Linked DNA regions of Saccharomyces cerevisiae S288C. Changing the gene in region 1 together with any one later gene gives a genetic interaction. Each region holds a gene or a part of one and is shown on either strand. Other genes may lie near its edges. The genes, in order: BUD2 and BUD5.

Region 1 (5,844 bases):
ACTCCAGATGGAATTTATGTGCCTTAATTATACGTAAAACATTGTCCGTTCTCTTCAGTTATAATTACTGCTGATTCAGGGGCGGCAGCTGATATATCTCGAGTCACCTTCAAAAATCAAACCTGCTATTGGGACCCGTACTTCCATTTGGATTTACCAACTTGATTCTTCTATCAGAGACGAAGGCCCTTATAAACCTTGAACCTGAGCTTAAAATTTACATATTACTTTCTTGTAATCATTAAGTATGAATTTGCAAGGCGTTTACATGAAAAGAGGTCGGCATAGTACATATGGAAATTTACTGGTATGCAATCCATTATGTGTTATCATATCTTTTTTACATAACAGGCACTTCTGAAATTCCCCCTCTTGTATGCCCCTATTTACTCCTTTTTAAATTCTTCGGATTATTATTTAGATCGTGATTCTCTCTACTCAAACATTTCCTTGAACTTGTATAACGGGGAAATAAATCTGAAAAGCAATACATTTGCGCACTGTTAAAACTGGAAAGGAAGAATGACAACCAGCATACTCGATACTTATCCTCAAATATGCTCCCCCAATGCTTTGCCAGGTACTCCCGGCAATTTGACTAAGGAGCAAGAGGAAGCGCTTTTGCAATTTAGGTCAATCTTGTTAGAAAAGAATTACAAAGAAAGGCTGGATGATTCTACGCTATTGCGATTTCTACGGGCAAGGAAATTTGATATCAATGCTAGCGTTGAGATGTTTGTAGAAACTGAACGATGGAGGGAAGAATACGGTGCCAACACTATTATCGAGGATTATGAAAACAACAAGGAAGCCGAAGACAAAGAAAGAATCAAATTGGCCAAAATGTACCCTCAGTATTACCATCACGTTGATAAGGATGGGAGACCATTGTACTTCGAAGAACTAGGAGGAATTAACTTAAAGAAAATGTACAAGATCACTACCGAAAAACAGATGCTAAGAAACTTAGTCAAGGAGTACGAATTATTTGCCACGTACCGGGTCCCAGCGTGTTCGAGAAGAGCTGGCTACCTTATTGAAACTTCGTGCACTGTGCTGGACTTGAAGGGTATCTCACTTTCTAATGCTTATCATGTGCTTTCCTATATTAAAGATGTTGCAGATATCAGTCAAAATTATTATCCTGAAAGAATGGGTAAGTTTTATATTATACACAGTCCATTTGGTTTCTCGACGATGTTCAAGATGGTTAAACCCTTCTTGGATCCAGTAACCGTGTCAAAAATCTTTATTCTTGGCTCTTCTTATAAAAAGGAATTATTAAAACAAATTCCAATCGAGAACTTGCCTGTTAAATATGGTGGTACATCTGTCTTGCACAACCCTAATGATAAGTTCTACTATTCCGATATTGGTCCCTGGAGAGACCCTAGATACATCGGACCAGAAGGTGAAATTCCCAACATTTTTGGTAAATTTACTGTTACCAGCTAACTATGATACAGGCCTTCGTCGTAGCTTTCCGTGAATATAGCATGCATACTCTATAATATGTATATCTCTGTATCTAATAATAATTAATGACTTTCATTCTTGAACGCGTTCTGTTCGATAAAAAAGAAAGGTATCCAAACAAACGCCATTTATGAAAACGGAGGAAGAAACAACAAAATAGTAGGAATAACTACTCGGTCAGACTGAAAACTTTATCCGTGCATACGTCGTGGTGTTTATCTTTGATTGTATCATATTATGAGCTCCAACAATGAACCGGCCCAAAGTCGAACATCATATTTCAAATTGAATGAATTTTTGTCCAACGTTAAGCATTACAAGAATACCTTTAAGGGTGAGATTCAGTGGTGTAATAACCTGTCCTTAAACGACTGGAAGACACACTATCTGCAAATTACCAGTACAGGTGCACTAACCCACTCAATCGATGAGTTAACAGCAGACTCTACTAATATTCAGCCAATTATCAAACATCTACAGCAATGTAGAATCGAGATTATTAAGGATAAGCATTCCTCTTTTAAGGATATTAATGCAAATTGTAATTTTATAATCCAAGTAAACACCTCAGGTAAAGATAATAAAGTTTACCTGCGAGTTAAAAGTTGGAGTGATTTCAAGAAATTGCTAACATGTCTGATCTGGTGGAGCTCAATGAAGACAAATGGTATATTTAATAAGTTTCAAGTATCGCGACCTCTAGAATTTAAAAGCAAAAAAATGGCGAAACCAGAAAGTTTGCTGGTTTACAAATTGAATGTTTTTGGGCCCATCGTTAAGAACATCGTCCTTCCGCCAGCAACAAATATTTTAGAAAGCCCTGATATAATTAATAATGATGACAACAGCGTAGGTTGGTTTTCCGCTATGGGGGTGCTTAAATCAAACGGCATGCTAGATCTTCTTTTACAGAGTGACGGCTCTCTGATTTACTCATTGAATATTAGCCAGCTTTTAAGATCAGAGATAAGAATTCTGGATTCATCTGTTTTACAAAGTGAAAACAGTTTGTTTTTAGGTGAATTGCCATTACTAAGGAGCCAGTTGGGCCTCGAAAAGTTTCGCATAGAAAATATTGCCAGTGCTGCCACCAACTCTAGTGATATTTCTCAAGAAATTATTGTAGAGTTTCCCTTAAGAATAGACCTGGAGGATTGTTTTATAGCGTTACAATCGTTCGCTAGGTCGGAATACTTATCTATTACTGGCTCAGATAAATCAAATGATATGAAGATATCGAATAGCTTTAAAATTTCCATACTGGAAGCTAATTTTCAGTCAATCAATTTAAATGACAAGAATAATACGCCATGGTCAATATTCACAGACATAACGGCCTGGGGCCATACATGGGCTAGAACATCCATGGTTTCAAACTCCTCTAATCCATTTTGGAGAGAAGAGTTTCAGTTCAATGAACTTTTAAGACTTACTAATTCTTATCTGGAAATCAAGCAGTTATTCCACGATCTCAATAATAAAAAACGGTTACGATTGATAGGCAAAATAAAAATCACACAAGAAATAATAAATGATACAAGATATAATAAGGAAACAAGACTACCCATCATGGACGTTGATAACAAAAATTTTCAAATAGGAACAATCTGTATTAAAATTTCTTCAAATTTGAACTTCATTTTACCGTCAACCAATTTCGTTAAATTGGAAAAACTTTTGATGAACGCAAACTTGTCCATGGTTTCCAATCTAATTTACAAATCTTCTTCATCAATGGAGAATGATAACAAATTGACGCAAACATCCATAATTTTTCTCGATATATTCCAATCTTTGTCAAGAATAGAAGAATGGTTCCACGTCCTTATAGACAAAGAATTGGCTAAAATTGATGGAACGGTTTCAAGAATAAACCAGAAAAATTTAGACTCAAAGCATGTTTTCAACAGTTTATTCCGTGGTAACTCTATCTTAACAAAGTCGATTGAACAGTACTTTTTCAGAGTGGGTAATGAATATTTGAGTAAAGCGCTTAGTGCAATACTAAAAGAGATCATTGAGTCAAACAAATCATGTGAATTGGATCCTGCTAGAGTAAAAGAAAAAGATGAAGTAAAAAAGAGGAAAATAATTGCCGACAACTACAAACGATTGTATTCTTGGGTTACGAAGATTTGGAAAAGGCTGTATGCAACGAGTAATGACCTGCCGATTGAAATAAGAAATGTTTTAAAAATCTTTAGGCAAAAACTAGAGATAATTTGTATCGATGACACTTTGCAAATAATTTTGAATGGTATATCAGGATTATTGTTTTTAAGGTTTTTTTGTCCAGTCATATTAAACCCTAAGCTATTCAAATATGTTTCTCAAAATTTAAACGAAACAGCAAGAAGGAATCTTACCCTAATAAGTAAAGTTTTACTTAATCTGTCCACTTTGACGCAGTTTGCAAACAAAGAGCCCTGGCTAATGAAGATGAATAACTTTATCGATAAAAGACACAATGACTTATTAGATTACATTGATAAAATGACGCAAAAGAAACTAGATTTTAATTCAAAGATATTGAACCTAAGTTCTACTATTTCGAGACCCAAATTGGCCATTGAACAAACGATGTTGGATGATTTGCCTCAGATTCCTTATCTGCTTGATAAGAATTTGAGAGAAACTGAGTTTGTTAACTTGATTGTTAATTTCAGTCAGGAAGATATGACCAAGATGGAAAAATACAATCACATGGATAATGGTGGGAAGGGAGAATTAATCGAAGAGGAGGGCCTGTTAAGCGGTAGCAGCCTAAATTTGTCTGTGGATAAAAAAGATTTGGATTCACCAATTGAGGTTAAGCCAGAAATTGGAGAGTTAGAATTTGAGAAAATAACTGAAAACAACACGGAGATCTTCGGAGATGATTTAATGAACCTACTGAAAAGCGATGATGTAGGTTCCAGAAGCAGAGATTTGGATAATGGCGCTAATTCAGGCATCAAATTTAATTCTATAATCCCGAAAGCAGAAGAGGAAAAGCATGCAATGAAAGAATTGGAGCAAGAGTCATGTTTACTCTATAATAGGATTAATCATATTAGAAAACGGTTGTCAGGTTATGAATGTGCTTCCAGCACTTTGTTTGAAGACAAAAAATACTCCATTTCACTCTCACATAAAATTTTTTATGAAGAAATAAAGGAGGGAAAAGAAATTGTTCTTAAACTACTAAATAAACCAACAAATGAAAACTCTTCCGCAAGATTGCAGAAATTCTTCACAAAAGGTGTCTCTAGTAAATCCAATAACACAGTTGGAGATAGTTACTGTAAATTTTTGACTATTGATGTAAGTGATGAGAATCCCAAGAGTAGCAACAAAACATCGGTACATGGAACATCATCGGAAAATGGAGCCAAGGATGATTACTTGACGCTTCCAAACTCGCAAGGTAAAGGTAACTTGGGGAATAGATTTTCCCCGACAAAGTTATCTAGGATAATGAGGAAACCTCCTAACGCAGATGTTCCTAAAGAACAAAATTCCCGTAAGCTGACAAGATGGTTCAAAAAGAAAAAAGAAACAGGGGGATCTTAATCGTAGAAAAAAATGTTCACTTCATATTCTTTCCTTTGAAAGTTTTTTTTTTTTTACTTCTTTATTCACTACTTGTAACAGTATATAGCGGGTTGTACTATCAGCAGAAAAAAGTAATTCATAATTTTTCAGAAAGATTTCTCATAATATAGTATATAAAAAAATGCTTCGAGAGGAGATGATAGACAGCGATAAGTATATGGAAATTTGGAAACCAAACAGGAGATACAAATGGGTATATATTATATTTAATAAAAACGAACAGATGGCGATCCAGAATGTGGAAATAAATAACAAAGTTGAACATCATACGGTTATTCCAAGGTGGCGAGAATGTTAGCCTGCAAAGGAACTTGCTAGTGACATCTCAATGAAAGATTTTTTCCTCCCAGCACCAAAGTTTGGTTTCGAAGACTGTTGCTGTTGTACTGGCTGCCTTGGTTGGTGGAATTGATTTGTATTTGTACCTAAAGGGAAATTTAGTGATGAGGAAGTGTTCGAATGTGATAATGATGAGGAGGTGTCCCCTGTATCGTTCGGACAACACGATGATATTTCACGGGGCCGATTATTTGAAAACCTTTCAATACTTTCTTCTGGGTCAGCAGTCAAAGTATCCAACCCAGGTGAAACGTACTTTTCCAAGCCATACAAATGTGTTGGTATGGCAATGGCAGAAGACCTTGATCTTGACCTGGGTAGAGAAAACGACCTTGAGTTGCAATGTTGAAGTGAGTTACTAGAGAATTCTGAATTGGGTGTTTCACTTTTCAGTAATACGTTGTTTTTCTTTTTAGTACACGCACCGCTAAAGAG
Region 2 (4,705 bases), on another chromosome or scaffold:
AGTATCCTAAAAGTACATATTAAAAAGGAAGTAACCTCTACTGTGGAGGCACCCAAGAAGGCGAATAAGATAAAGATAAGTTTGAAAGGTGATAAACCTGTTAGAAAAGTGGAAAAACAAATTGTGAAGCCGAAGGTAACTAGCAAACAAAGGAAAGTCAAAAGTCATGTGAACCGCATGGGCAGTTTACCTTTACGGTTTGTTAAGATCCAACAACAACCTAGAGTAATGGTGCATTTGTCATCCGTCCCGTATAGCCAATTCGTTCAAATTACAAAAGTCACATCAAGATCGTTTATGGTTAAGATAAGAACAAAGAATGATGCTAAGAATTGATTGTTTGCTTGAGTCTGAGTAATATCATATTTTATACAAATACATAGACATAAACAAAAGAGGCAAGTAGATAAGGGTATAGCCATATGAGTGTATAAACAAACATTGGGAACAAGAGCAAGACGATGGGGAGTTTCAAATAGGATAGCTATACTGACAACATTCAGTACTCGAAAGATAAACAACCTCCGCCACGACCACACTCTATAAGGCCAAATGTACAAACACATCTTCCCAATATCCGTCACCACGTACTTCAGCATAATTATTCGTCAACCACTCTACAAAACCAAAACCAGGGTTTATAAAATTATACTGTTGCGCGAAGTAGTCCCATATTCCGTGCTGCATTTTGTCCGCGTGCCATTCTTCAGCGAGCAGAGAAGACAAGACATTTTGTTTTACACCGGAGCCAAACTGTGAGTAATATGCTCTAAAAGCCATAAATGAGTTTAAATATTTCTTTGAAGATTTTATAGATGTCTTATTGAACTGTCGAAACTGAGTATTTTGACTTCCAGACGCTATCCTGTGAATTTGGATTTTATTTAAAAATCGAGAGGAAGGAACAGGAATCTGGATATCTTTCTTGAGTGGTCGAATAATATTGAAGCAGCTTGGCCTCACATGCTCAGCTAGACGTTTTTCTTTCAGCTTTTTTGAAACCGCTGTGTTTCTGTATGATTTGGATGCTTTGTTCTTAATTTTGAAAGCAGGCTTCGAAGTAAACATATTGTGAATGTCGTCTATTAAGTTATTATATATGGTTGATACATTTCATAAAAAGTGAAGGTTAAAAGAAGTAGTTAAGAGTTTAAGTTGTTTCATATGATGTACTTTTCTACATTGGGAAGCAATAAATTGCATCCCAAACAAAACCCAGACATCATTAATGTTTTGAAACATAAAATGTTGGAACTTAAAAATATATATAAAGGAGAGATTGAAATCAGCTTAGAAGTGGGCAAGAAAAAAAGGAAGATAAGCAAGAAAAAATGAATAAAATACCCATTAAAGACCTTTTAAATCCACAAATCACAGATGAGTTTAAATCCAGCATACTAGACATAAATAAAAAGCTCTTTTCTATTTGCTGTAATTTACCTAAGTTACCAGAGAGTGTAACAACAGAAGAAGAAGTTGAATTAAGGGATATATTAGGATTCTTATCTAGGGCCAACAAAAACCGTAAGATTAGTGATGAGGAGAAGAAGTTGTTGCAAACAACATCTCAACTCACTACTACCATTACTGTATTACTCAAAGAAATGCGCAGCATAGAAAACGATAGAAGTAATTATCAACTTACACAGAAAAATAAATCGGCGGATGGGTTGGTATTTAATGTGGTAACTCAAGATATGATAAACAAAAGTACTAAACCTTACAGAGGACACCGGTTTACAAAAGAAAATGTCCGAATACTAGAAAGTTGGTTTGCAAAGAACATCGAGAACCCATATCTAGATACCAAGGGCCTAGAGAATCTAATGAAGAATACCAGTTTATCTCGCATTCAAATCAAAAACTGGGTTTCGAATAGAAGAAGAAAAGAAAAAACAATAACAATCGCTCCAGAATTAGCGGACCTCTTGAGCGGTGAGCCTCTGGCAAAGAAGAAAGAATGAGCCCGAAAAACAAATATGTATATATCTGTGTAGAATATATATATATATATTTCGCAAAAATACATAAACAATCAACCCTCTCCTCAGACACTACTAAGATGTTTGTACTGATAGATAATGTCCTCGCCTACCTTCTTGAACAAGACGACCTATTTGTAACCGCACGCTTCGCTATCCAGGGCCAAATCGTCTCAAGAAGAGTTAACAAAATACATATCTCCAACATCACAGACGTCCTTCTACAACAATTCATAAGTCACACACTGCCCTATAATGACAATATCGTCCCAAAAAAAATCCTCGACAGCATGAGAACGGCCGTACGGCAGTTGCTGGAAGCAACTGCCTGTGTCTCTAGAGAATGCCCCCTCGTCAAAAGAAGTCAGGACATAAAAAGAGCAAGAAAACGTCTACTCAGTGACTGGTATAGGCTCGGCGCTGATGCAAACATGGATGCCGTATTACTAGTTGTTAACTCCGCCTGGAGGTTTCTGGCCGTCTGGCGACCCTTCGTAAACTCAATCCAACATGCAACTCAGGAATTGTATCAAAATATCGCCCATTACCTTCTTCATGGCAACGTAAATATACAGAGGGTCACAGCACTAATACAGCTCGTAATGGGACAGGACGATTTACTTTTTAGTATGGATGATGTTCTACAAGAGGTCTTCAGAATACAGCTCTATTTGAATAAGATGCTGCCGCACAACTCTCACAAATGGCAAAAGCCATCCCCCTTTGACTCCGCAAACTTACTACTTAACTTCAGAGACTGGACAACTGACAATGCTCTCCTCCAAGAGTTGCTACTATCCTATCCCACAATTAATAAAAACAAACACAAAAATCACTCCGTCCCTCGTCTAATACAAATCTGGGTAGAGTCTTATTGGCAAGATAGTGAGACAACATTAAAAGATATCCTCAATTTTTGGTACAGTCACTTGGCTGAATATTATGAATACCAAGAACTGTTTGCAGACATAGTTCAGCTGTTTATAAACAAAAAAAGAACGAGGCAATTGAAGATTCATTACATTGGTCTAACTGATAAGGAAATCGAAGAAAATAAACCGCCCCTGGACTACGAAAACTTATTTCTCCAATACGAGATAGACAAAACGAACGCAAATGATGAATTGTGCGGTGCAACTGACCTCAGTGATTTACTTTTCCAATGGAAACAGGGTGAACTTCTAGAAGTCGAAGCCTTCGCTCTAAACGTATCTCCATGGTCACTTGCAAAGACATTGACTCTCTTAGAATCTTCTCTTTACTTGGATATTGAAACAATAGAATTCACAAGACATTTCAAACACAACGATACAACAATTGACTCCGTGTTTACGCTTTCCAACCAGTTATCGTCCTACGTTCTTGAGACAACTTTGCAGCAAACGCACACCATTTCCTACTGGTTACAAGTTGCACTGTCTTGTCTATACTTACGAAACTTAAACTCACTTGCTTCAATCATTACATCATTGCAAAATCATTCAATAGAAAGACTATCTCTCCCGATAGATGTTAAATCAGACCACCTTTTTCAGCGCCTAAAAGTCGTCGTACATCCAAACAACAACTACAACGTTTATAGAAGAACAATTAAACATATTTTCCACAGTCAGCTTCCTTGTGTACCTTTTACATCACTGCTTATCAGGGACATTACCTTCATAAGAGACGGAAACGATACATTCACTAAAGATGGTAATAACGTGAATATGCAAAAGTTCAACCAAATCACAAAGATAGTCGCTTTTGCGCAATATTTACAACAAAAGCAATATGAAGATATACACTGTTCAAATACTACTGCAAGAAGCTTATTAGGGGCTATGATAAAGGTGCACACTTTATATAACGACAACAAAGACAGGGCGTATCAAGTCAGTATAGCTAAGGTTCCAAGGCTTACCTAAAAACAGAACTGTTCAAAGAAAGATGACTTCCTTTTGCTTCTTGTACGCTCACAAATAATTAATATTCATGTTTAGTACTGAAAATTAAGAATACTTGCATAACTACAGTAGATAATATTTTTTGATAAGAAACCAGACGTAAATTAGATGTAATCTTTTACAGATATTACAGTCAACTTAATCAATTACCTAAAAAGGTTTAAGATTGTGCATAGGAAACGTTTCAATTACCGTATCTTTAGGCTACCGCCTCTTTCTTATTTTCCCTTACCCTTTTTTCAATCTAATTAATTGATGATTTCGCACGTGGGAAAAGTAATCCGATGCATTGAAAAATTATTACCAGAAAACAGTGTTTCACACCAAAAAAGCAGTCAGCTCTCAGATAAAGGTGCAGCAAAACTACGGTAAAGGCGGCTATTATTGTGCCTCGAAATGAGATTCTCACACTTTCTCAAATACAACGCTGTCCCTGAATGGCAGAATCATTACCTAGATTATAACGAATTGAAAAATTTGATCTACACATTACAGACAGATGAATTGAAACAAGAAACGCCAACCGGTGACTTAAACGATGACGCTGACTCTCAGACTCCAGGTCCAATCGCTGATATAGAAAGCAACATAGCTGCAGGAGAACCATCTTCATCGAAAAGAAGATTTACACATAAACTCAAGCGTAAGCTCTTTGGTTCTAAAACACCTTCAGGAAGCAAAAGGGGAGACTCCGACGAAAAGGCCATAGATGGGAACAATATTAACGAGGAAACAATTGAGTTAGACGAGTTATCTCCTCAAGGGAAAACCACCTCT

Evidence for each region.
Region 2: of BUD2 (region 1) and BUD5, changing one suppresses a phenotype caused by changing the other (phenotypic suppression), as found in Saccharomyces cerevisiae (one study listed by BioGRID).

The regions. Positions count from the first base shown.
Region 1 is NC_001143.9:265,329-271,172, reverse strand, and holds BUD2 (GTPase-activating protein BUD2), read left to right. Parts: upstream 1-1,713; coding exon 1,714-5,028; downstream 5,029-5,844. Other genes in the region: YKL091C (phosphatidylinositol/phosphatidylcholine-binding protein), read left to right, coding at 523-1,455; MBR1 (Mbr1p), read right to left, coding at 5,365-5,844. UniProt on the Saccharomyces cerevisiae protein: Stimulates the GTPase activity of BUD1/RSR1. Participates in the regulation of bud-site selection.
Region 2 is NC_001135.5:196,805-201,509, reverse strand, and holds BUD5 (Ras family guanine nucleotide exchange factor BUD5), read left to right. Parts: upstream 1-1,960; coding exon 1,961-3,889; downstream 3,890-4,705. Other genes in the region: transcription initiation factor TFIID subunit TAF2, read left to right, coding at 1-336; YCR041W (uncharacterized protein), read right to left, coding at 267-599; MATALPHA1 (transcriptional co-activator mating type protein alpha), read right to left, coding at 541-1,068; MATALPHA2 (homeodomain mating type protein alpha2), read left to right, coding at 1,332-1,964; PHO87 (SPX domain-containing inorganic phosphate transporter), read left to right, coding at 4,325-4,705. UniProt on the Saccharomyces cerevisiae protein: GDP-GTP exchange factor (GEF) for the small GTPase BUD1/RSR1. Regulates the activity of BUD1 together with BUD2 which is a GTPase-activating protein (GAP) of BUD1. Required to produce both the axial and bipolar patterns of bud site selection.